Arabidopsis thaliana: one gene and its partners. The protein of the gene in region 3 interacts with the protein of the main gene of each other region in a pairwise test. Each region holds a gene or a part of one and is shown on either strand. Other genes may lie near its edges.

Region 1 (5,792 bases), on a different chromosome or scaffold from region 3:
TTCAAAACAGAGGTTTCAGAATTCGAATTTGTTTAGCCTAAGAATAAAAATGGCTCAGTGAAGAAGAATAAGAAGATTATATAGATAGAGAAAGAGATAAATTCTGCTTTTAATGAAACGCGTTTTATTTTTAATTAAGGAAACGAATTCAAAACGACGCGAATATTTGATTTTGTTGGTCTGATTTGGTTAATGAATGAAGGATTTGGTCAAGGAAAATTAATTGTGACCATTATTTGCTATTTTGTTGTTGTTATTGATAGATAACCAAGATCGGTTATACTTAACCAACGGTTTAATTTTTTGAAAAAGAAGTGCCGTTACGTTTTGAATGTGGTCAGAGCTTTTTCAGCAATCGAGAAGCATTTCAAATGTAAAGGTTTAATAATTAAACGTCTAGCCACTATTGTTACTAAAAAGAAACAATTTATTTAGTGTGCAGCTCCATAAAACTAGGTTTAAGTAGGCGTTATTTTCAAGTTTGTTTCTCAATGCTAAGGAAGAAAGTAGGAATATGTAAAATGTGATGAGTGATATCCCAAATTGTAGAAGGCTTATCCCAAATTCGGCCCAACATAAAATAGTGTAGCCCGTTAGTAGACGAACATAAAGACGCTACTAAAACCCTAGTTTCATGGAACTACACTAAATATAGTCATGAACACATAAACTCAAAATGTCTAAGATAGAGATCATAATTATTAACATTTTTAAAACACTTAATTTGTTTGAATGAAGAATTATATTACAAATAGTTGATCAGTATTATTTTGAGATAGATCCACTGCATATGTAATCAATATTGATTCATTCCAAATATGCATGCACTGATGCACGCACTATTGATCAATGATCAACTATCTAAAGTTTCCGTTGTTGTAAATTATTTTTAAGTTAGGTAGCAAAGGCCATTTTTCAGAAAATTATGTGAGTTTGGCTGAGCATTACTCGGACGTTCTAGTGCCTTTGTGTGAACAGCACACACAGCACGTTCATAACCACTTTATTTTTATTGAAAATCAAAGGAAATCCAAAGTTAGGTTTCTCAACTTTATTTGAGATAGAAGTATGGAACGTTGCTTATATACTACTATATATCATGTGACTGATATCCAAAGTCTTATTGGTGACTGACTTTTTTCGTCTAACGTTTCTTATATTATTTTCATTCCCAACTTAGATAATAAGTTTTAAAGGACCATATTCCCCTTTAATTTCTTTGGTCAATTTCATGGACCACATTATAAGTTAAATGAATGGAAATGCAGATAAACGAGAAATAAGTCTCTAGACCGGATTCTGATTTTCACAATTCAAGATCCAAGAATATTCACGGTAATCCAAGAATATCCACGATAATATCCACGATAATATCCACGGATTCTAAATTCTTGTAAGTAACGTTATGTATTAACTTTATTTCAATGTAGCAAAACTCTAGGAGAATGGGCTTTTAAAGTGCACGAAAAACATTTTTTTAAGCCAGACACCAACAAATAGAACTTATCTATAAATCCATAGATGTGACTAAAAATAATCCAATCCACAAAATTTATCTTTTTGAAATGTCTTATTTGTTGTAGAATAGTCTCTATATAAAATGCATCTCTCTATTTAATTTAATAAAAAGATGGAGACAAATGGACAATGACACCATCACACAACGTCCACAAAACATTAACGAGCCTAATCTATTCAACTAAAAATTAATCTCCATCGCCATCAAACTTTACCATATACATAAGAAAAAGTCATCAAAAGTCGATTTGACAGGATCAGAAGATGCATCAAAATCAGCAAAAAAAATACTTCGAAAAAATCATCACAACTTATAATAGAATTTAGAATTCAACTATAATAAAAAAAAAGTATACATATTGAAATTCTTAAAATTCGTTACAACATCACGAATCTGTAATATTTGCTATTCGTATAAGCAAAATGTACAATTCACATCACTAAGACAGATTACTTAACGAAGACGTTTAGTTACCTTATTTTTCTTCGTCGCCGTTTCACACACTAACACTACAACTAGTGGTAAACGTATACTTAACGGCGTTGTCTCCGACGATAACTCCGTTAGCTTTGTTACCGAAGTTTATATATGCTGGACACTTCACATGAAGATGATACTTCCCGGTGATAAAAGTCCCAACCTTCCACCTCACTCTACCATCAGCACGAATGATCAACAAAACGACACCGTTATCTTTATCGGTGTCAAGACTAACGCCGTTAAAAGGAGCGATGGGAACGGAGGTTCCGTAAACAAACGGCGACCAGATGTCGACATCTTTGTGTCCCTGATACGTGGGAGGGATTGATGTTGGGAAAGTGATTTGTTGGCTCCGGTAAGTAGCGTAGACGTCAAGCCGGTCGTAGTAAATGCCGATTTTGTTGTTAGGGTTCCGGGAAGAGAGAGTGATTTGGAAGTTGGAGGTGAGGAGGTTCGGTGGATTGCCGGAGACGTTGAAGGCGTAGACGGTGGCGTCTTGGAGGATGAAGCGTGGCTTTGATGGTTGGAGAATTGCCCAAATGAGGAGGATTGTTAGGAAGATGATGAAGAGGACGAAGATTATTGACCAAAATATTCGCCTTATTAGTTTCCGGCGAGAGTGGCCGTGGTTTTCACAGTCTTTCATGGTGGTTGTTTTTTTTCTTTCTCCGACGGTGAGTGGTGGTGGTGGGGAGAAGGTGGAGAAGTTGTTAAGAGATTTTTTGTTTTAGTGATGGCTCTAAATAATGGGCTAATTATATGTAGGATTTATAGGAGTGTGATAGGGAAATAAAGGTATTCTCATATTATAAACTATAATAATTCTCCCTAATATTAAAGGTATTCTTTAAAAAAAAAAATTGTAATCAAAACAAAGACCCTTTTAAAGAAACAAGTATTCTACATTTTTATTTTCCATTTAATCACAACAATATATTTTTAAAAATCATGCTAACCTTCTTACATAAAATTTATGTTGTGATATATTTATTGTTAACTGTCATTTTGTATTCTCTATAATTCATTTTGTTTTTTTCCTACATTTATATAAATGTTGAAAATTTATGAATGCGTGATTGATGTGGTCGGTGCAAGTGTTCTTTAGAAAGGTGACTTTATGTGTGGTCGAAGAATTTTTCATCGGCTCCCCTCCAACCATAATAAGCAATTCAACTAGCTAGTTATAATTTCACTTTCAGCTTCACGATATATAAAAAATTCATTATCAGTAGATTCTCTAGTGTGAAATCAAACTACATATATAGTAACTTGCTTGTTTCAAACAGTAATTTGTGTTTGTTAAATTTGATTTTTCCATGATCATGGAACTCGGATTTGTACCATCCCTCAAAATAAAAAGTTCAGAAATTTGGAGCTGTCACATGGGTAAATGAGTTTTCACTACAAATTATTAGTCCATTTGTGATACGAATTTATAGACCAATCTAACTTTTTATTTATTTAATGATCATATATTGCGTATACATGTGTGGATTAATAATTTGATAGAGATTGAAAGAAAGTTCAATTTATCCACGTAATTTCCAATACAGAAAAAGAGGACGTAAGTGACCTAACACTAGTTGCCAAAGCAGAAACCACCACTTTTTCCATCATTTTCCTTGTCGTGTTACGTTGATTAACTACTCTAAATATTCTGTAATTTTGGAGAGAAAGTATTAGACGGGGCACTAATTTCTCTATCGGTATCGGTCGACATATATTTGGTCTAGTCGTGATTAAAGTAGTTTTCGAAATTTTAGACAATAGCGATATTAATAGGGAGGGTTCTTTTCATCTTTGGCGTAAAAAAAGGGGAATAGCTTGAATTCGTGAAACAAAAGAACAAAATCACGAAAACGGCCTTCATAGTTCATATTTTTGCCAATATAGTTATTTTATATATCATCAAATACGCTTCGTATTGATATTTTACAAAAAGACATCTAATAATAATCTACCCTTTCTATTAACAAACAAACGACCTACAACAACTGTAAAAGTAAAAAAGGATAACAATAACGTAGTGGTTTAATAAGTCACAAGCAATAACTGGGTGGCCTATGGGGAAATATCTACCAGCCGAAGATTGGCTTGTGAACGTGAGGTGGTACGAGATTCAGATCCTTGCAATGTTGATTATCATAGTCTTTTGTTCTTGGTGTTGCTCCAGTGCATAGTCTCAAGAAATCGTTCCCTGTTAGAACATAGTGTGAGAATGCCAATCCTCCATCGACCACCTCGTTAAAGCTCGGAACCGATCTTGATTTTCGCATCTTCCTTCCTCCCTCTCCATTGTTTAAGATCTTATCGAGATCTGAATACTCCATGAACCTCTGTGTTGCTGCTTCCCAAGAGAGATTGTACATTTGTTCAGGAGTGAGAGGTAGTGGCTCTTTCGTCATTGCTTCTTGCACTTTGGACACAAAGTCTTCGGATGTTTTGTAAGTTAAGCAGTTCGGGAATGATCTAAAGAATTCGTTTGAAGGGTGATCTGCACACACCACAAACTTCCCCATGGCTAGTGCTTCTGCGGTTGCTGTGCATAGAACATCGCTGATGCTGGGGTTTATGAACACTTTGTACCTTCATCAAGATGTGGGAAAGACAATCAAAGAGCGAAACCTTAACAAGTTTTTAAAAGCAAAGCACATTTTTCAGAACTTACTTGTGAAGAGCATCGTCAGCGTGGTCCCTTCCTTTGAGGAAATTGAGATTCAAGTCATGTTTCTTTGCTGCACGTTGGACCTCGACTGCATCTTCACCGTTCCCATATACATCTAGATTGAAGCTCCCAAGTTCGCTTTTGTGTTTAGCCATCAGATCTATTAGTTCTCTGTATCCTTTAGCCCACACCATTTTTCCTAAGAAGTATGCACCTTTTGAGAAAGCTTGTTCACCACGGGATCTCTCTTCAGCAATTTTCTCCCCAATCATAAGGAACTTGGGATTGACACCATGGACATTGCATACAACAGACTTTGGTAAATCTTGTGTTGCCGCAGAGAGGCGAAGAACCTTTCATGAGTAGAAAATATGTATTAGCTCGTGTACTATTTATTAGTAAAGAGGATTCAAGCAACAGAACAAGGCTTGAAGAAATAGAGTAGATGATTCACCTTGTCACAATACGCTCGTGTGACCCAATTGTTTACATGGTTCACAAAAAATGCTTGAAGAGCTCCATTCTTCTCCCTCTTGATGTACTCTAAGTAGTTTGTGTGGACAATTCCAACAACATGGTTGAATTTATCAGTCCAACGCTTGCCGTGATAATACCAGTTGAGATGTTCAGGTTCTTCAAGTATAGCAATGTCAGCATCTTTTGACGATATAAATTGAGAAGTGTCACCAGCAGGAAATATGCTGCGCCTTTCTTTTGAAAACTATAAGAAACCAGAAAGCTCAGTTACTCTATAGAAATAATTGAAAAACATATTGGCAGCCATAGAAATAAAAAAATAGAATCCAAAATGATCAACATACCTTTCCTGGGTAAAAGGAGATTTTAAAATCAGCCTTGAAACCAATCCTTTCCTCCAACCATTTACGTATATAACTCTCTTGTTCTTCAGGTGAGCTGAAGGTGAGATTGTTTGGATACACTAGTTCTTGATCAGATTCGCAGAGCCAAGGAACCACGAGAGTAACACTCTGTTTTGCAGCTTTTGCCAAATACGCCGCTCTGAATAGCGGATTTACAGCTGTTCCGGTCATCCAAGGAAGACTAGCTGTTGTAACAATTGCCACATGCCTTTTGTTTTCCGGTGTCTCAGGCTTCACAAAATCAGTC
Region 2 (5,710 bases), on a different chromosome or scaffold from region 3:
GCTAAAACTATATTTACTATATAAATCATCCACATCAACCAACATTCTCACCAAATCATCTCGTTTCACCAAAAACATTACAATTTAAGATTTGCAGACTCACAATACTTACGACATGGCAGTTCAAGTGTCAAAGAAAATTTGTCGTGTATTGATGATTGTAATTTTATTTGCAATGATGTTTTCAGCTCATTCCAACTCGATAGATGTGTGTGTCAAAAATTGTGGCGTGAACCAGTGCATGAAAGCATCAAAGAAAGCGACTCCAGCTATATGTGACAACCCTTGCAAGATTATATGTGATCCTCTCAACAACGAGCGATACATCGTCCCTCGAGGTAATGGTGGTCCTATAAAAAGGTTCTGCAGAGCATTTAGCTGGATTTGTAGCGCGTAATTGATCGACATTACAAAAATTGTCTCCTTTCTTTATGCATATATTATATATTTATGTTTTTTTGTATCATTGTATTGATCCATATTTCAAGTACTTATGTATCCTTCTTCCATAATTTTATTATACCTAATACTCCCTCATTTTCAAATTATATTTGTTTAAAGTTTTTCAGACAAATTAAAATAATTACAATTAATTTCTGTTTTTCTTTTTATTAATATGCTATGATTTTTTATTCGTGAAGACATTAAAAAAAACTAAATTTTTAACCAAACATCTACATTGAAAAACATAACCAAAACTTATTATGAAACAAATTTTAAGTTATAAACGCCAATAAAGTTGAAACAATATAGTTTAAAAATAAAATAACTAAAATATATGATGTTAATGTGATTTAGTTAGGCATTAAGTTTCCATAATTTGTATAGCTAATTTTTTTTGAACATAATGTTAAATTATATTCAAAAATATATATATATATATATATATATATATATATCATGTTTACAACAAGTGCAACTGTTTTAGAAAGAAAGCTGAGAATATAGAGTTGTAAAAAAGAATTATGTAGGCATTTGAATTTAATAATTTTATGGAAAAAACTGAAGATGTTAAACAAATATGGATTTTATTTTTAAAATAAATACTTTCAATCAAATTATATTAGTCTTGAATTTATAGATTTTATGAAAAAAAAGTTTATTGTGTTTTCATGGAGGAAAATGACGATAAAGACAATATGAAAGAAAATTATGTTTACAAATGTACATATTTACCTGGGAGGAGTCATATTAAATGATCTAATCCGCCTTAGTGTATTGTATGTATCTAGAACCTCTTACTTATTCATAAACAAAAGTACATATTTTCCTTACGTTTTCTTATAAACAAATGTACATAATTTCCTACTTATATATATATATATATGTATTCAACTCAAAAATTATAGACAAAACAAAAGGATTACGTATTCTTTTTGTTCCTGATGAATCTTTCACCATATTTAAGAAAAACTATAGGTTTGAAAGAAAGAATGTACCCCGATGATCGCCAAAATATTTAAATCACATGAAAAATAACAATGTGATTTAGTTAGGCATTGAGTTTTTAGGATACTTTTGGTGGAATTGTTATTTTTCATTTTTAAAAAAGGAAAGATTTTTAGTGTCCAATGATAAATTCAATGATCTTAAAAAATTATGTACAGTGAAAGGTAATCATTCCTTGTTAACGGTATGTATTCTTTACCATGTCATGTGCATATTACGATTTTCGTAACAAAAACGTGGTCACGAATTTTAAGAAGAAAATGCCACTAAGATATGTGTTGTACAGGCTAATATTTTAAATATGAGCAATTAGTGTTACTATATTTATGCATAGCATGCAAATAGTTGTTTAGATGACCAAAACAGTATAATACATATAAGTTGTCCAGAAATCAATCGATATATTTGCCAAGAAAAAGAAACGAAAACAAGTTGACCTCCTAATAGTTAGTTACTTCTAAAATCAGCTAAAACTATTTTTACTATATAATCAACACAACATTCTCACCAAATCATCTTGTTTCAAAACCACAACAAAAAGAAAAAAGAAAGAAAAAAAACATTACAATTTAAGATTTTCAGACTCACAATACTTACGACATGGCAACTCAAGTGTCAAAGAAAATCTGCAGTGTATTGATGATTGTAATTTTATTTGCAATGATGTTTTCAGCTCATTCCAACTCGATAGATGTGTGTGTCAAAAATTGTGTCGTGAACCAGTGCATGAAAGCATCAAAGAAAGCGACTCCAGCCATATGTGCCAACCCTTGCAAGATTATATGTGATCCTCTCAACAACGAGCGATACATCGTCCCTCGAGGTAATGGTGGTCCTATAAAAAGGTTCTGCAGAGCATTTAGCTGGATTTGTACCGCTTAATTGATCCACATTACAAAAAATTTGTCTCCTTTCTCTATGCATAAGTTATATATTTATGATTTTTTGTATCAATGTATCGATCAATATTTCAAGTATTTATGTATCCTTCTTCCATAATTTTTTATCTTTAACAATATTTACTTGTATACGGAAAATTTGTTAAAAATCTAATTATTTATATTTATATATGTAACAACTGAAAATTGGTAACTTGTATAAGCATAATTTATGCTGCATAAACATATTTGCATTTAACTACACGGAAACTTACTAAAGAGAAAAAGAGAATTCTCGCATATAAAACAGAACCGTTACTCTGTTTCTCTTGGCGCTTTAATTAGGGTTTCTTATTTAGCTTTTGCATTGCCACATTCCTAAAGGTTTCATCTTTTGGATCCTTCTCTGACTCACTTCTTAAAACCCATCAATGGAGGAAGGAAGTCTGTGGCGTCAATGGACTATGTTCAGATCTCTGTTATCGATTCTTCAATGGTGGGGTTTTAACGTTACTGTTATCATCATGAACAAATGGATCTTTCAGGTTTAAAAAGTCTCTTACTTTTATCATTAAAGACTTAGCCTTTCGTTTGTTTTATCTGATCTGCGTTTGAAATTTGGTACCTTTCCTTGTTTGCAGAAACTGGATTTCAAGTTTCCATTATCAGTTTCATGTGTTCATTTCATATGTTCGTCGATTGGAGCATACATTGTGATTAAAGTCTTAAAGCTTAAACCTTTGATTGTGGTTGATCCAGAAGATAGGTGGAGGAGGATTTTTCCAATGTCATTTGTGTTCTGTATCAACATTGTGTTGGGGAATATTAGTCTTAGATACATTCCTGTCTCTTTTATGCAGACTATCAAATCTTTAACTCCTGCAACAACAGGTTTAGGGTTTTTTTAAGATTGAGAATTTTTCAAAATAAAGTGATTTTTTTTTATTGTTCTGATTGGTTTTTGTGTAATGGTTTTTTGAGTGCAGTTGTGTTACAGTGGTTGGTATGGAGGAAATATTTTGATTGGCGTATTTGGGCGTCATTGGTGCCTATTGTTGGAGGGATTCTTCTTACTTCTATTACAGAACTTAGCTTTAATGTGTTTGGATTCTGTGCTGCTTTGTTTGGATGTTTAGCTACCTCTACAAAGACCATTCTTGCAGAATCTCTTCTTCATGGATACAAATTTGACAGGTCAATGTTCTGTTTCCTGAGGTTTTGATCTTCAGTTTCACATGATAGGTGTTGAATGTGTGAAACTTACATTTGGTTTCAATGACATGCCATGCTCTCATAGTCCAATACTTGATTTGCTTTTTCATATTTCATGGAACTGAGTGTTTGTGTCCTCCTCATTTTCATGTCTCTCTATGTAGCATAAACACGGTATACTATATGGCGCCTTTCGCGACCATGATTCTCGGGTTACCTGCATTTTTACTAGAAAGGAATGGAATTTTGGATTGGTTTGAAGCACATCCATCTCCATGGTCGGCTCTCATAATTCTTTTCAACTCAGGTGTTCTAGCTTTCTGTCTTAACTTCTCCATCTTCTATGTCATTCAATCCACAACAGCAGTCACATTCAATGTAGCTGGAAACCTTAAGGTAAATGAACAAATCCCAAACCACATAACATTAATCTTTATATTCTAGTTTCAATAACTCAGATGTTTGATGGATGGTATGTGATTTGCAGGTTGCAGTAGCTGTGTTTGTTTCATGGATGATATTTCGAAACCCGATATCACCGATGAATGCTGTTGGCTGCGGAATCACACTTGTGGGCTGCACCTTTTACGGATATGTAAGACACATGCTTTCTCAGCAACAACCCGGAACTCCTAGGACTCCTCGTACCCCAAGGAACAAGATGGAACTGATCCCTCTTGTTAATGATAAACTCGAGAGTAAAATTTGAATATCATCGGTAAGTCACTAGACTATTGAACGCACACAAAGAAGTTAGATTTGATCTTGAACATCCACAAGAGAGTTATAGTTTAACTATATGTTTATTTTTACTCAAACTAGAGAAGTTAGAGAAGTGCCATTTTATTTGTTTCCATTGTATTAAATTATCTATCCTCATCAAACCAACTCAGAGATGACCACAAAGATACTTAAAGCAGGCCCATTTTTGTATTCAATTATGGTAGTGCTTTCACTTACCTCAGCTTTTTAATTTTTCCTTCCAATTTTGTTTGTGCCATAGTGCCATGTTCTAACATCAGAGACTTAATACATGACAAAATGGTGCAAGTTTGGGAATCTTTGAAAGAAGATGAAAATAGAAAGTTAATTTGACAATATATAAGAAATGATTATTCATTTTCCCGCCTTGATACATGAAAGAGCTTAAGACGGTGTTTAAGGGAAACGAATATTTTAGCTCTCAAAACAGCTCATCAAATTCGTTGCTTTAGCTTCTCAAAAGTAAAAAATGGGCTTTTTCAAGTGGGCCTCAACTTATGTTGCTGAATTTACCGCCATATCCTTCCCTTACAAAAAATCAATTTTCAAAAAATCTTCATGCTACAGTAGTCTGAAACCAGGTCAAAGGAGTTAAAGAGAAAAGGGCAAAACAGTCAAACAGCATAAAAAGATGTCTGTGTCTTGGAGATCGCAAAGCTACCGTTTTCTGTTCACTCTGTACAACACACTTGTCTCCTTCTTCCTCTCTTCTCTTCTCTCTCTCCATTTCAAAAAGGGTGAAACTTTTCTTCTCTTTCTAGAAGAAGAAAACCAGAGATACAGAGAGATTCTCTCTCTACCAAACCCCTGGAAAAATCTCCAGATTCATCTTCCATAGACCAAACTAAACTCTGTTCACTGTACTCTCTGTCATTGTCCTGTAAGAGAAATTGAAAACCCTAGGAGATTTTGAATTTCGTAAAACCCTAAACACAAAAATGAAAATCCCAGAAAAACCCATCTTCTTAATCTTCGTCTCTTTGATCCTAGCTTCGAGCTTAACCTTCACAGCGACAGCGAAATCAACAATCGAGCCTTGCTCAAGCAACGACACTTGCAACGCTTTACTCGGCTACACACTCTACACCGACCTCAAAGTCTCAGAAGTCGCATCTCTCTTCCAAGTAGACCCAATCTCTATCCTTTTAGCTAACGCCATCGATATCTCTTACCCAGACGTCGAAAACCATATCCTTCCTTCGAAGCTCTTCCTCAAAATCCCAATCACTTGCTCCTGCGTCGACGGAATCAGAAAATCTGTCTCTACCCATTACAAAACCCGACCTTCTGACAATCTAGGATCGATTGCTGACTCTGTTTACGGAGGCTTGGTCTCTGCTGAGCAGATCCAGGAAGCTAACTCGGTGAATGACCCGTCGCTGCTTGATGTTGGGACTAGTCTTGTTATC
Region 3 (5,949 bases):
TATTTAACTAAACAATGTGAGAGGGTGAAATTGATATTTGCAGCAAGACGATGGATGAATATGTTTGTCAACTGCACAAGTTTGCAGAGAGACTCTCCAAGCTCATGTGTGAGAATCTTGGTCTTGATCAGGAAGACATAATGAATGCCTTTTCTGGTCCAAAAGGTCCAGCTTTTGGAACAAAAGTGGCTAAATACCCAGAATGCCCACGTCCTGAGCTTATGAGAGGGCTGAGAGAACATACGGATGCTGGGGGAATCATATTACTCCTGCAGGATGATCAAGTGCCTGGTCTTGAGTTCTTTAAAGATGGGAAGTGGGTTCCTATACCGCCATCCAAGAACAATACCATTTTTGTCAATACCGGTGATCAACTAGAGATACTGAGTAATGGGAGGTACAAGAGTGTTGTTCACCGTGTAATGACAGTGAAGCATGGAAGTAGACTGTCGATTGCTACGTTTTACAATCCGGCTGGTGATGCCATAATATCTCCAGCTCCAAAGCTCTTGTATCCAAGTGGCTACCGTTTTCAAGACTACCTAAAGCTTTATTCAACTACCAAGTTTGGAGACAAAGGCCCCAGACTTGAGACCATGAAGAAAATGGGAAATGCGGATTCAGCCTAGGATGCATCTGGAATTTGACGCTTCTGTACTCACATCATAAAAACTTTGTCTTCTTCTTGTGTTTCCTTATAATTTAAATAACCAGCCATGTCAGAATCTTGCTGATTCAGCTATACTACTTCACTCTTCTTTCTTCACTTCCACTTGAAAAGTTCCAAAGCCAAACTGAAGCAGTCTCATCAAGCTCTGTGTCGAACTTGAGATTAGACAAAGAGCTTGTAATCTAAGCTCTAAGATTGACAGTCAATTTCATGATTTATAAGATGTAATTCAACTCTTAACGTAATCCACAACTCCGCCATCATCTCTTTCCATATTCTCTCTGATTTGACTCATTTCCTTCCCAATTCCTAGAATCAAACAAATAGCATTTCTATATCAGCATCTAAAACTGAAAGCTAAGTGTGTATTGACTCAAAATTCTTCTCCAATCGCAATAAAATCGAGATGAGAAAAATTCATCCATATGTTTTGGTTCACACATTCTATCGAGCAGCTTGTGTGCAATCCCAATCCTCTGAACCAAAACAAAAGCTTATCTCTTGACCATTACCCGACATTTCACTCATCAGCCAACGACAAATCCTGCTCCGAAACCTCTAATGCTTGGAAAAGAAGAAAATTCCGATTTCCGAACAATGGAACTTACTCCATTTTGCATTCTCTGTCGAAAGTAACATACGTTCAATGCAAATGACCCAAAGTCGTCGGTGCCACGTGGATAGTTCTCACTGGTTGATGCATTCGGTAACTCGCAGAATGGAAGAATATTAACACAAAAGGCATCTCGCGTATCCACGTGTCCCGTTCAAGATTCCAAATTCTAAACCAAAAGCCGGTCCGACCAGATTAACAAGTTCTCTTTATTACATCACAACCCAAAACTTGTTCAAAACCTAACTTTTCATTGCTAAACATATTTTATTCTGACATTCACATGTTAACTTTAATCCAATATCTAATTCTTTTTTCTTAAAACCACCGTTGTCGAAAAATCCAAATCAGCAAAATCAGTGATTAACCGGACCGGACCAAACCGAACATCGTTTTCTGTAAATAGCAGTAACTGGTTTCACACATCCCATCATCTCTAACCACCGACCTCATAAGTCATTAAGACAAAAACAGAGACACTCCTCTCACTCTCATTATTTCATTTTCTTTCCATAAAAAGCACGAATCTTCAAGAACAAAGAGAGAGAGAGAGAGAAAATTTAATGGCGTTAGCGAATAACTTAACGGCGATACTCAACTTACTAGCGTTACTCTGTTCCATACCAATAACGGCGTCAGGTATATGGCTAGCTTCAAAGCCAGACAACGAGTGTGTCAATCTCCTCCGTTGGCCCGTTGTCGTCCTCGGCGTTCTCATCCTCGTCGTCTCCGCCACAGGCTTCATCGGCGCCTACAAGTAAGAATCAAAGAACTTCAAGACTTTGAAAACATAGACACAAATTGAATCATAAAGATGTAAACTTTGAGCTCTCATATTTCAGGTACAAGGAAACTCTACTGGCGGTTTACTTGTGCTGTATGGCGATATTGATCGGACTTTTGCTGGTGGTTCTTATATTTGCATTCGTCGTGACCCGGCCCGATGGATCGTATCGGGTTCCGGGTAGAGGTTATAAAGAGTATAGGCTTGAAGGGTTCTCGAATTGGCTTAAGGAGAACGTTGTGGATTCCAAGAACTGGGGAAGGCTAAGGGCTTGTTTGGCTGATACTAATGTTTGTCCTAAACTCAACCAAGAATTCATCACCGCCGATCAGTTCTTCTCCTCCTCTAAGATCACTCCTCTCCAGGCATGTTCTTTCTTCTTTTATTCTCTTTTATAAAAAGAACCCCGAAATTTCTAGTTTCCGGTTTAGGTTTGGTTTAGAGGTAAATCTAGACTAAATATCGGTTATGCAACTATGCCAACGAATCATTGTGGGTTTAATTAGATATTATTAGATGATTAATGGAGATAAGATACGAAGTAAAGAGAATGTTTTGTAAAATCTCTAGATTATGTGAGACCTACGGTTTGTTCTTGCCATAGAAAGATAGGTTATTTTTTCTTTCAAAAAGTAAAGTATGTGGTTTTAAATCAAAAAGTTAAAAAATTTCTCTTTAGCTTTTGTGAAGATGTCCAAAAGAGAATTGTTCTTATTCTCTATATTCTTTTTTTTTGTTTTGCAGCTTTAAGTTATTTCGTTTTGGATTTCCTCATCTTTGAAAAAACTAAAAAAATATTTTCTGACTTAATTAATCTTATGTTTTCTAGTGTTGGAGAGAAACCTACATTAGCTTTCTTAACGTTTCGCAGTTAGTGCCATTTTGTGGTAAAACTCATAGATTAGGCATATGTAATCACCATTATTGAACACATATTTATTCCTAGTAGACTGGTGTAGAAGTTGCTGGAGACCAAGTCCACAAGATTATATAGTAAGATAGTCAGATTTCAAAATTATACACTATCATAAGGACCCACCCATGCACCCACAATATGGTACATGATAAACTATGTTTTATCTGTGTATTAATTATATTTTTCCTTTGTCACTATCTCACTCATAAAATTCAATGATCCCATTCACTTTAGATAGTGTTTTTCGTGATCACAACTCAAACTTGACAAAATTTCCTACTTTTTCTATTTAATTTTATTAATTAAAATCACTCTTAAAATTCATTGTCATGTCTTTTATGTCTTTTAAGCTTTAAACATGGAGAGATTAAGGGTGATTTAAATAATTTTATTCCTAAAACTTCTATAGCAAGTTGTCATCCTAGTCCATTGTCACTGTAACAAGATTGGAACCACTAATAATTAAATAAGCCTAGATGCTGAGGTCTCGACTGAATTTTAAATCTTTTAGTCATTAGACATTATTAAATATTGGACCAATGATTTGATTCAATAATTACGATCACAAGTCTTTGTCTCCATCATGAAACATAATAGATAATTATATCCCTCCCATGTTGCCCCACTCACATTATAATTTTTCTTATTGGATAAATTAGGACTCAAGAAAAAATAAGTTTATTTCTAAGAAAGAGTTATACAATTTCTCGTCCTCGAGACAGAACCAAAATTTACTCATAAGTAAAAGAAGATTATTCTGTGATAAGATTCAACATGTTTTTTCATTTTTTTTATGTACTTTCATACCAAGCAAGCAATTTTTTAGGTTTCTTGTAGTCGTTTTATTTTTATAGCTTTCAGACTAAAACTAGTGTTTCATTGTTTTAGGTCTTGACTCTTGAACTCTTGATTGTTTGTGTTTGCCTTTAGTATATACTTTTTTTTTCTCCACATGAACCCATAATATTAACCATGTTAAGCAAAATGAAATTTTTGTTGTAAACACAAAGGGCAGACGCAAATGGTAGCGTTTGTGTTTACAATGTGTAAATATTTTTTACCAATAAAAAAAAAGTGTAAATATCTTTAAGACTATGATTATCATATTTGAAAACATGGTTAAGCATATATTTGGTCAAATCTAATTATGACAATTTCTTGAACATTTGTTGTTTTACAGTCCGGCTGCTGCAAACCACCAACCGCATGTGGCTACAACTTTGTGAACCCAACACTGTGGCTAAATCCAACCAATATGGCTGCAGACGCAGACTGTTACTTATGGAGCAATGACCAAAGCCAGCTTTGTTACAATTGCAACTCATGCAAAGCTGGTTTATTGGGAAACCTTAGAAAAGAATGGCGTAAAGCAAATCTCATACTTATCATCACAGTCGTTGTTCTCATATGGGTTTATGTTATTGCTTGTAGCGCGTTTAGGAATGCTCAGACTGAGGATCTCTTCCGCAAATACAAACAAGGTTGGGTCTAAAATGTGTTTGTGTCTATAAATTTGTTTGTAGTTTGTTGAGATTGGAGTTTTCGGAAATAGCTCGTCATATTATGATTTCTTTGTGTGTGGAAAAGGTTTTTTTCTTTTTATGGATTTTGTTTCTATGTTTATCAGTTTATGTTCGACAAAATGGCACTTATCTATGTAAACAAACAACTGACCCTAATTGGAAAACTGATTGTTGTCATAGAGTTTTCTCAGTTTCTTCTATTAAGAAAAACTTAACCGTTGGTTAAAACGTAATTATCAACAAAGACTTCTCTTTTGGTCTGTGACGTTGATTCCAACGATAAGAACAAAACCTAATCTTTGTTTTCTTTTGTCAACAATAGTACTATCACCTTTGTTCTTAACTATTTTTTTGGGAACTTAAAATTGACAACACCGGAATTAAAATGTTTAATACTATCAAAATTATATGAAACTAAGCTGTCTTTTAGCTATAGTTTAATTCATTTCTGACCTCTAAAATAATATTATCCGGAGATTATTGTAGTTTCGTAACGTGGTTGATGAAACTACTAGGTGTTTTCTTAATTAGACCACGATTTTAACATTACGTTACACTAATACTCTATTGCATTTTTGGTAGTTTTCATAACAATGATTCCATGCGGCTTAGTCAAACCGAAATCATATTATTTGTAAATTCAATTCTGATATAATTTTTCTATTTTGTACCAAACGTAAACCGAAACATAACCGAAACCGAACCAAAACTTCATTTGCGTAATGTAGTTTCCTACGTTGTTGTATCTATAAATAGTTTGTTTGTCCAGCATCCATTTCATAATTCCTCATTTCCCGGATCTCTCCCATCTAAAAATAACCCGACCCATTTACGCGACCCAAACCGGATCAACCCGCAATGGATAAGCCAAGCTTCGTAATCCAATCCAAAGAAGCAGAATCCGCCGCGAAACAACTCGGCGTTTCCGTCATTCAGCTCCTCCCGTCGCTAGTCAAACCAGCACAATCCTACGCTCGAACTCCGATTTCGAAATTCAACGTCGCAGTCGTCGGACTCGGATCATCAGGTCGGATCTTCTTAGGCGTCAATGTCGAATTCCCAAATCTCCCTCTCCACCACTCAATCCACGCCGAACAGTTCCTCGTCACCAATCTCACACTCAACGGTGAACGTCATCTCAATTTCTTCGCCGTCTCCGCCGCACCATGTGGCCATTGCCGTCAATTCCTCCAAGAAATTCGCGACGCACCTGAAATCAAAATCCTTATCACCGATCCAAACAACTCCGCCGATTCCGATTCCGCCGCCGATTCAGACGGATTCTTACGTCTCGGAAGCTTCTTGCCACACAGATTCGGTCCCGACGATCTTCTCGGGAAAGATCATCCTCTTCTTCTCGAATCTCACGATAACCATCTCAAAATCTCAGATCTGGATTCGATTTGTAACGGAAACACCGATTCATCCGCCGATTTGAAACAA
Region 4 (6,707 bases), on a different chromosome or scaffold from region 3:
ACTTTGATCACTAGAAGTAAACCAACAACCTTTAACTCTTCGGCCATCAGCTCACTATTAGTGTTCTGAACTCCTCTCTTCACTGCTATCTTGGCAAGCTCACATTTCTCCCAAAGCTTGACAATTGCAACAGCTAGTCCCTGCAAATTTCTATTCCTACCTGGAAGTCTCGAAAAGGTAAGCCAGAATAAGTTAACAATCTTTTCGTGTCTAAATGAAGCTAAAATCAGGTGAAACCAAGCTTACCTAAAGCAAAATGACAAGGGAGTGGTCTACCAAGTCTCCTTATTGTGGTCATTTCATCATCAGTTAGTTTTGGACTGACGCCATATGGAAGAAGGCGAAATGGTCTCCTGTAGTCAGGTACTACGGCTGGCAGAAGATCACCATCTACGGGAAGGGGATCATATGCCCACCAGTCAGTAAATCTTGGACCCAATCCTTCCAACAAACGGTCTGCTTCTTCTACAAGCTGTACTTCCCCGGGTAATTGAAACCTAACCTTATCCGGAGAACCAACGCCTTGCGTCAACATCGGTTTAACCATTTTATTAGTAATACTCGGGGCAGAAGATTCTGCAATACTCTGTTTCTCTCTACTATCAACCACTCCTTGATCCATAGATGATGCTCCTGAAGCAGCTTCATGTGCCAAATCCCGATCAGATACAAAATAAGGGTACTGATAATTTACCCCTCTATACAACAATATTTTGCTTCCAGACCTCCAAATGACTAAGCCTCCAGTTTTTGTCTGTAAAATCAACCAGGACAAGTATGAATTTCCGTCTGTGCCATTTGTTGACATGTTCATAGATCTTTCATTGAGAGTCAAATGTTACTATCAAATCCCTATCATGAAATCAAAAGTAGAGAGGCAAACAAACCTCCAAGACGTCATGGGTCCGTTTCATGTTCATTCTGGAAATATCTTCGCAGAAAATCTTCACAACCTCCGTCGTCCTCCATCTCTCGTGAATCCCATTCACAATCCCTTCCGTAATCCCAGCCTTGCCAATCTTCAGCTTCTTCGTCAACCTAATCCCCACCGTCCTCAACCGCCTCAGCTCCGCCGGCGGCAATGTCAATTCCGCCAACGACGGAACCTTCTCCTCCTTCTTCCTCTCCATCTCCGTTTCCTTCTTCCACACTCTCTTCAACTCATGGTACCTTGAAATGGCAGTACCCGACCCGGGCTTCGGAACCGGGTAACTAGGCGTGCTCCAGCTTGTGTCAATCGTGTGCCCGACCCGGTGAATCGGAAGCTGCTTAGGCAACGGAACGAATATCTCTCCTGGGGAATTCTTACCAGATTCTTCTCCCGTGATTCTCCTAGTCGGTGAATCATGCTTCTCTTCCACGAATCCAAGGCTACGAAGCTTCTCAGCGATTCTCTGGATAGCCGATTGGGGAAGAGTCTTTCGACCGGAAGCAGAACTACAGAAGATGCCGGAGTTCGCTCGACTGACATTGCGTCGCGAAACTAGGGTGTTGGGAACAAGGAATGGCGGGAAAATTCGATCGGGAAAGGTTTTGGCAAGTATCAATGGTTGCTGGTGAAACAGTGGAAGCAACATTTCTCCAAGCAAACTGGATTACGCAAGCGGAGCTATATGCAGCAGCAGCATATCCATAGAGGTCACATGATTGTCACGTGATGGTTAGAATATTTAAACATGAACTATTTGAAGACCCCAGTAGGCCCATATTGAGTTATTGGGCTACTAGCCTATCCCATTTTGGGTTATTCGGGTCGGGTCGGATCTTTCCGGTTTATCAGATCAGAAGCTCGATTCTGTTAAGCTTTAATGGCGGAAAAATCCAAATTTCCTCGAAAGAAGTATAACCTGATTCGCAGAGATTGTGAAGATTGGAGTCATGGGTATATTAAGTTACGCCGTCGCCGGCGGTGGATTTGCAGTAATCGGCGCGTGGGAGTCACTGGACTCATCGAACCTGGATCCGAATTCATCTTCTGGTACTGCTGATTCATCTTCCCCTATGGCTCAGATCAGAGCTTCGCCGCCAAAATCTGTTGGATCATCTTCCATCCCCGTAGCTTTGCTTTCGTCTCTGTTTATTGCGAACTCGTTTTTCTCCTTCTTCAGCTCAATCGGATCTCGCGATCGGGTCGGGTCAATGATCCAGTTACAGATCGTGGCAGTGGCAGTACTATTCCTATATTACGCCATTCTAACATATCTGGTCAACTCCAAAAACGCTGTCTTTGTTGCACTTCCGTCTTCGATTACAACTTTATTGCTTCTCTTTGGCTTCATTGAGGAGTTCTTAATGTTCTACCTGCAAAAGAAAGATGTTTCTGGAATCGAGAATCGTTATTACGATCTCATGCTCGTGCCCATTGCCATCTGCGTCTTCTCCACGGTTTTTGAGCTCAAATCCGACTCTAGCACGCATCGGTTTGCGAAATTAGGTCGTGGGATCGGTCTGATTCTGCAAGGAACATGGTTTCTGCAAATGGGTGTATCGTTTTTTACCGGTTTGATCACTAATAACTGTACGTTTCACGAGAAGAGCAGAGGCAATTTCACGATCAAGTGCAAAGGACACGGTGATTATCACCGAGCAAAAGCTATAGCTACTCTTCAATTTAACTGTCATTTGGCTCTAATGGTAGTTGTGGCTACTGGTTTGTTCTCTGTCATTGCTAACAAGAATGGTTATCTCCGTCAAGATCATTCTAAATATCGACCTCTCGGAGCTGAGTTGGAGAATTTAAGTACTTTCACACTTGACTCTGATGAAGAAGACGAGGTTCGAGAAGAGAGCAACGTAGCTAAAGAAGTTGGTCTCAATGGAAACAGCTCACATGATTAAAGGTATAAATCAAAGTTTCAGACTTTTTTTTTTTTGTCTGTTTTGAATCTGTCCATTTTAGAAATGTTGTTGGTCAATGGGAGGATTAATGATGATATGTAATCAAACACACGAGATAATAATAATGTTGAATCTTTTGCATTTGATATTATAAGATACTGTTTCTTATGAATAAAAATCTTACAGTTGTCTATCTCTTTTGGTTTGCTAGTTAGTTCTAAAGCTACTACTACAGTTAGATCATTCGTGGAATCTTATGGCAAACGGTTATCTAAGTCGACTGTGTCAAAGGAATCAAAGTTTTTCTTCTTTCATTTAGGGGCTTCTTCTTTTTCATCGCCTTGATCACTGCTACTCTTGAAAAACTTGCATAGAAATATGTAGACTACAAAGCTTATTGTACTTGTAAGAGCAAGAAGCCAGTAGTATTTGTCAAGCCGAGCTTCCGACATATCATCTGCAAACCAGTTTTGTCGGTCACCTGTTGAGCTCGAGTAAGCCTCGACAATTGAGATCAGTGCGGCGCTCACAAAGCTTCCAACACCAAAAACACTTGTGTAGAGAGCAAATCCCATTGTTCTCATTCTTACAGGAACCTCACTGTAGAAAAACTCTTGCATCCCAACGACTGTGAATATATCTGAGATTCCCAAGAGGATGTACTGAGGCAGCAGCCAGAAGATGCTCAGTGGGACGGTTTCTGGATCATAATCAGGTAAAGTCTTCATCTTTTGGCTTATGGCTAGTCTTTTCCTTTCGACTATTGCCGCAATAACAATGGCAATGATGGATAGAAACATTCCGACTCCCATTCTCTCCATCACAGAGATACCTGTACCGTTTTTCTTGATTCTCTTGGTAATAGGTATCAAAATCTTATCATATAATGGCATAAGCAGGATGATTGATAATGTGATCGTGCTTTGCAGGGTTGCAGGTGGGATTTTGAAGTTGGACCCAATGTTTCTCTTCATAGTCACACCTTGTTTGGTGAAAAAGGTTGCTGGTAGCTGGAAGATAACCGCGAACATGAGAAGCATCATCCATATGGGGAAAAGGCGAATCACTAACTTAACATTATCAATTCCAGAGAAAACCGTTTTCGAGCTCTCGTCATCTTCCAATCCTTTGGAGGTTGTTGAAGGAGTCTCAATGTCTTCGGTCTCACATTTACAGAGAGGCCTCTCCTCTAGCCTACATAAACAGGTAATCATTAGTCGCTAAAAAACTTAAAAGACTAATTAGTTTCATGAGATATCGTGGTTTTTCCGAACTTACTCAAGCTCCATAGCATCCAAATCTTTCTCATCTGCAAGTGTATATATGCTTCTCTGCTTCACTACTCTCCCTTTAATGAATTTAAGAATCTTCTCAAAAGGTGTAGTAGTTGTTTTCTTCTTCAGACGGGCGCCCGGAGCATAAACATAAATTCCACAACCCGACATGAACACCAAAATCGACAGGAATATCACGATACCAGGAATGGCGAAACCGAGAACCCAACCAAAAGTGTCTTGAATATAAGCCATGACTGTGACACCCATAAGGCTGCCGGTGCAGACGCCAAAGTACCACAATTGGAAAAACTGAGTCTTTCGGGTAGCTTTCGCGTCCTTTTGATCACCCGAGGAAAGATCGAAATTCTTATCGAGGTCGTGGTCGAGTTGGTCTGCACCAAAGGCTTGAAGAGAAGGGTTTAAGACGCCTAAACCGATTGAGACAAGACATAGTGAAGAGTAGAGAAAGTAAGAAGAGATAGTCTTAGTAGCTGAACGTGACCCAGCAAATGCCGTCCATGTCAATCCCACTAGTCCCTTCAAAGAAAAAACAGAAATAATATATTAAAAACTACTAACAAAAGAAGATTTTCGAGTTTCCACTAAGCTAGCTTTTTCGCCTATAAGATCCGATAAGACCCATTATAAGCACTATATCAACATTCTAATCAAAATTCCATTATCAACCCAACTATTAAAGGGATCCATATAAACTCCATTAGTGGTAAAAGAAAATTTCTAATCGGACGGTGACCAAGTATCTAATTTCTTAAAGACTCTTTAAGATGGTCTACTTGATCTATTCCTTAACTCGGAAAATGACCCAACACCTAACTTATAACTTCCTTAGATATATCGTCTAAACCAGTTTTTCTTGCACAAGTTAATACCCATTATCAGTTTATCACTTAATGACTGCTTAATCAAGCATATACATAGACATCTAATAGAAGGCCAAAACATTATCAAAATATAACCAATTCTATTAACAACGCGATTATAAAATAAGATAAATAAAAGCAACATTCCCTCACCGCCTGACCGTTATTGTCTGACGGTGGAGGAGAGTTTCAGCACTTAGTTAACACTTGATTCTACTTACCACAAAGTAGACGGAAGAAGAAGCAAGGATGGTGAAGAATCTGTCCCAATAAGTATCAGCCAAAGGAGCAGAGAAGAGAGGCAACATAGAAGTGAAACCAGCCCAAGTGTTAACAGTTTTGGCTGCTCTTGAATTACTCATCTTCACTACATCTGTTAGATATGTCACTAAGTTTGATGCAACTCCTTTGAATGCATATCTCTCCATTCCCGCAATCACTATACACACAGAAAAACAAAAGTTCAATCTTTAGTTTCAGTGAAGTTTTGAATCTTTGAAACAAACGAACAAAAAGAAGAGAGGAAATCATTTACCTATGAGAAGGGCACATGACTTGCTAAGTCCTCTTGTCTTCTGTTCTAAATCCATTAGAAACTGTCTTTATGTGTTTATTGTCTATGTGTGTAGAGAGAAGAGGGGAGAGAAATTATTTGGTTATTTATATGTAAGAGAGTGGAGATCAAGGTGATTGTTGATGATTTGTGAGATTGGTTTTTTCGTATTTATAAAGGTTTAAAATCTTCTGAGTAACAAAAAAAAAAAGTTGAAAATCGTTAGCTTTTCGGTGTTATGAGAATTAACTTCCACTAATGGCAGAGATTAATTTCCATATTTGGAATTCTATATCTTTGTCTCCACACCTATGTGGGTGGATTTATGTATTTATTAAATAGTTTTTCCTTCTTTTCTTACCATGCTTCTTCTGTTTCTTCAAAAGATGTGTTTTCCAATTTTATACGAATTAAACTAAAACTGTATATAGCCAAATATACACTTCAAATTGATTTTTATTCTCTTCGTTTGTAAAATACGGATGAGTTAAAAAGTGAAAATTAAACATTTAACGAAGAAAGGTACAAGCTAGTAAAAGTTTTTTTTACCAAATGATGGAGTTTTATGTAGGGGAAAAAAACACTCATTGTAGATGTCAACCAAAATAAACTAACTAATTGAATTCTTAAAGAAATATGTGAATTGGAAAGTTTCATGAAAATGGTTTAAATGAAACCTGGTTTAAGTAGATTAGGAAATTCAATAGGTTTGTATGCACCCTAGTTTGAATTATATCTTTAATAACCGTTGCGCAAACCATTTTTTTTTGCAGATTTGTTCTATTATAATTAAACACTATTAAGTCTATTATATATCTCTTACCCTTTAGTTTTTTTATAGGTCAACACCCTTTTAATTAAATTGAGGTTTAACGTATTTTACAAAAGAAAGAAAAAGAGGAAATTTTTTATAAATATGTCGATAAAATGCAAAATCATGCAGTATATATCACTAAAATGGACCATCTAGCTCTTAGCTTTCTATCTGTTAGCTACATTGAATTCATCCTTCACCCTTGTACAATATGAAAAAGAAATAACTATAATTAAAGTTATATGTTCCTTTCATTTACATTTGGCGTATTTGATACTCTTTTATATACATAATTTTCGCATTCCCTTTTTTGCGATTCTTTTTCCTTATACAAGGTTGTTCTT

Evidence for each region.
Region 1: the proteins of TET2 (region 3) and NHL1 interact in a protein complementation assay, tested with the Arabidopsis thaliana proteins (one large-scale study listed by BioGRID).
Region 2: the proteins of TET2 (region 3) and GONST5 interact in a protein complementation assay, tested with the Arabidopsis thaliana proteins (one large-scale study listed by BioGRID).
Region 4: the proteins of TET2 (region 3) and AT3G01360 interact in a protein complementation assay, tested with the Arabidopsis thaliana proteins (one large-scale study listed by BioGRID).

The regions. Positions count from the first base shown.
Region 1 is NC_003074.8:3,677,016-3,682,807, forward strand, and holds NHL1 (NDR1/HIN1-like 1), read right to left. Parts: upstream 2,929-5,792; 5' UTR 2,646-2,928; coding exon 2,016-2,645; 3' UTR 1,580-2,015; downstream 1-1,579. Other genes in the region: DGD1 (UDP-Glycosyltransferase superfamily protein), read right to left, coding at 4,075-4,585, 4,668-5,017, 5,119-5,385, 5,486-5,792. UniProt on the Arabidopsis thaliana protein: May play a role in plant immunity.
Region 2 is NC_003070.9:7,675,450-7,681,159, forward strand, and holds GONST5 (golgi nucleotide sugar transporter 5), read left to right. Parts: upstream 1-2,758; coding exon 2,759-2,872; intron 2,873-2,968; coding exon 2,969-3,218; intron 3,219-3,313; coding exon 3,314-3,521; intron 3,522-3,703; coding exon 3,704-3,935; intron 3,936-4,026; coding exon 4,027-4,248; 3' UTR 4,249-4,394; downstream 4,395-5,710. Other genes in the region: AT1G21864 (Plant thionin family protein), read left to right, coding at 116-397; AT1G21866 (Plant thionin family protein), read left to right, coding at 2,050-2,331; LYM1 (lysm domain GPI-anchored protein 1 precursor), read left to right, coding at 5,240-5,710. UniProt on the Arabidopsis thaliana protein: GDP-mannose transporter that may be involved in the import of GDP-mannose from the cytoplasm into the Golgi lumen.
Region 3 is NC_003071.7:8,470,919-8,476,867, reverse strand, and holds TET2 (tetraspanin2), read left to right. Parts: upstream 1-1,714; 5' UTR 1,715-1,846; coding exon 1,847-2,040; intron 2,041-2,125; coding exon 2,126-2,432; exon of another isoform or gene 2,433-3,263; intron 3,264-4,163; coding exon 4,164-4,475; 3' UTR 4,476-4,734; downstream 4,735-5,949. Other genes in the region: ACO1 (ACC oxidase 1), read left to right, coding at 44-629; CDA1 (cytidine deaminase 1), read left to right, coding at 5,365-5,949. UniProt on the Arabidopsis thaliana protein: May be involved in the regulation of cell differentiation.
Region 4 is NC_003074.8:133,903-140,609, reverse strand, and holds AT3G01360 (plant viral-response family protein (DUF716)), read left to right. Parts: upstream 1-1,878; coding exon 1,879-2,838; 3' UTR 2,839-2,840; exon of another isoform or gene 2,841-3,016; intron 3,017-3,049; 3' UTR 3,050-3,149; coding exon of another isoform or gene 3,150-4,032; 3' UTR 4,033-4,116; downstream 4,117-6,707. Other genes in the region: CFM2 (CRM family member 2), read right to left, coding at 30-160, 247-754, 888-1,577; AT3G01350 (Major facilitator superfamily protein), read right to left, coding at 3,150-4,032, 4,117-4,652, 5,218-5,435, 5,532-5,586.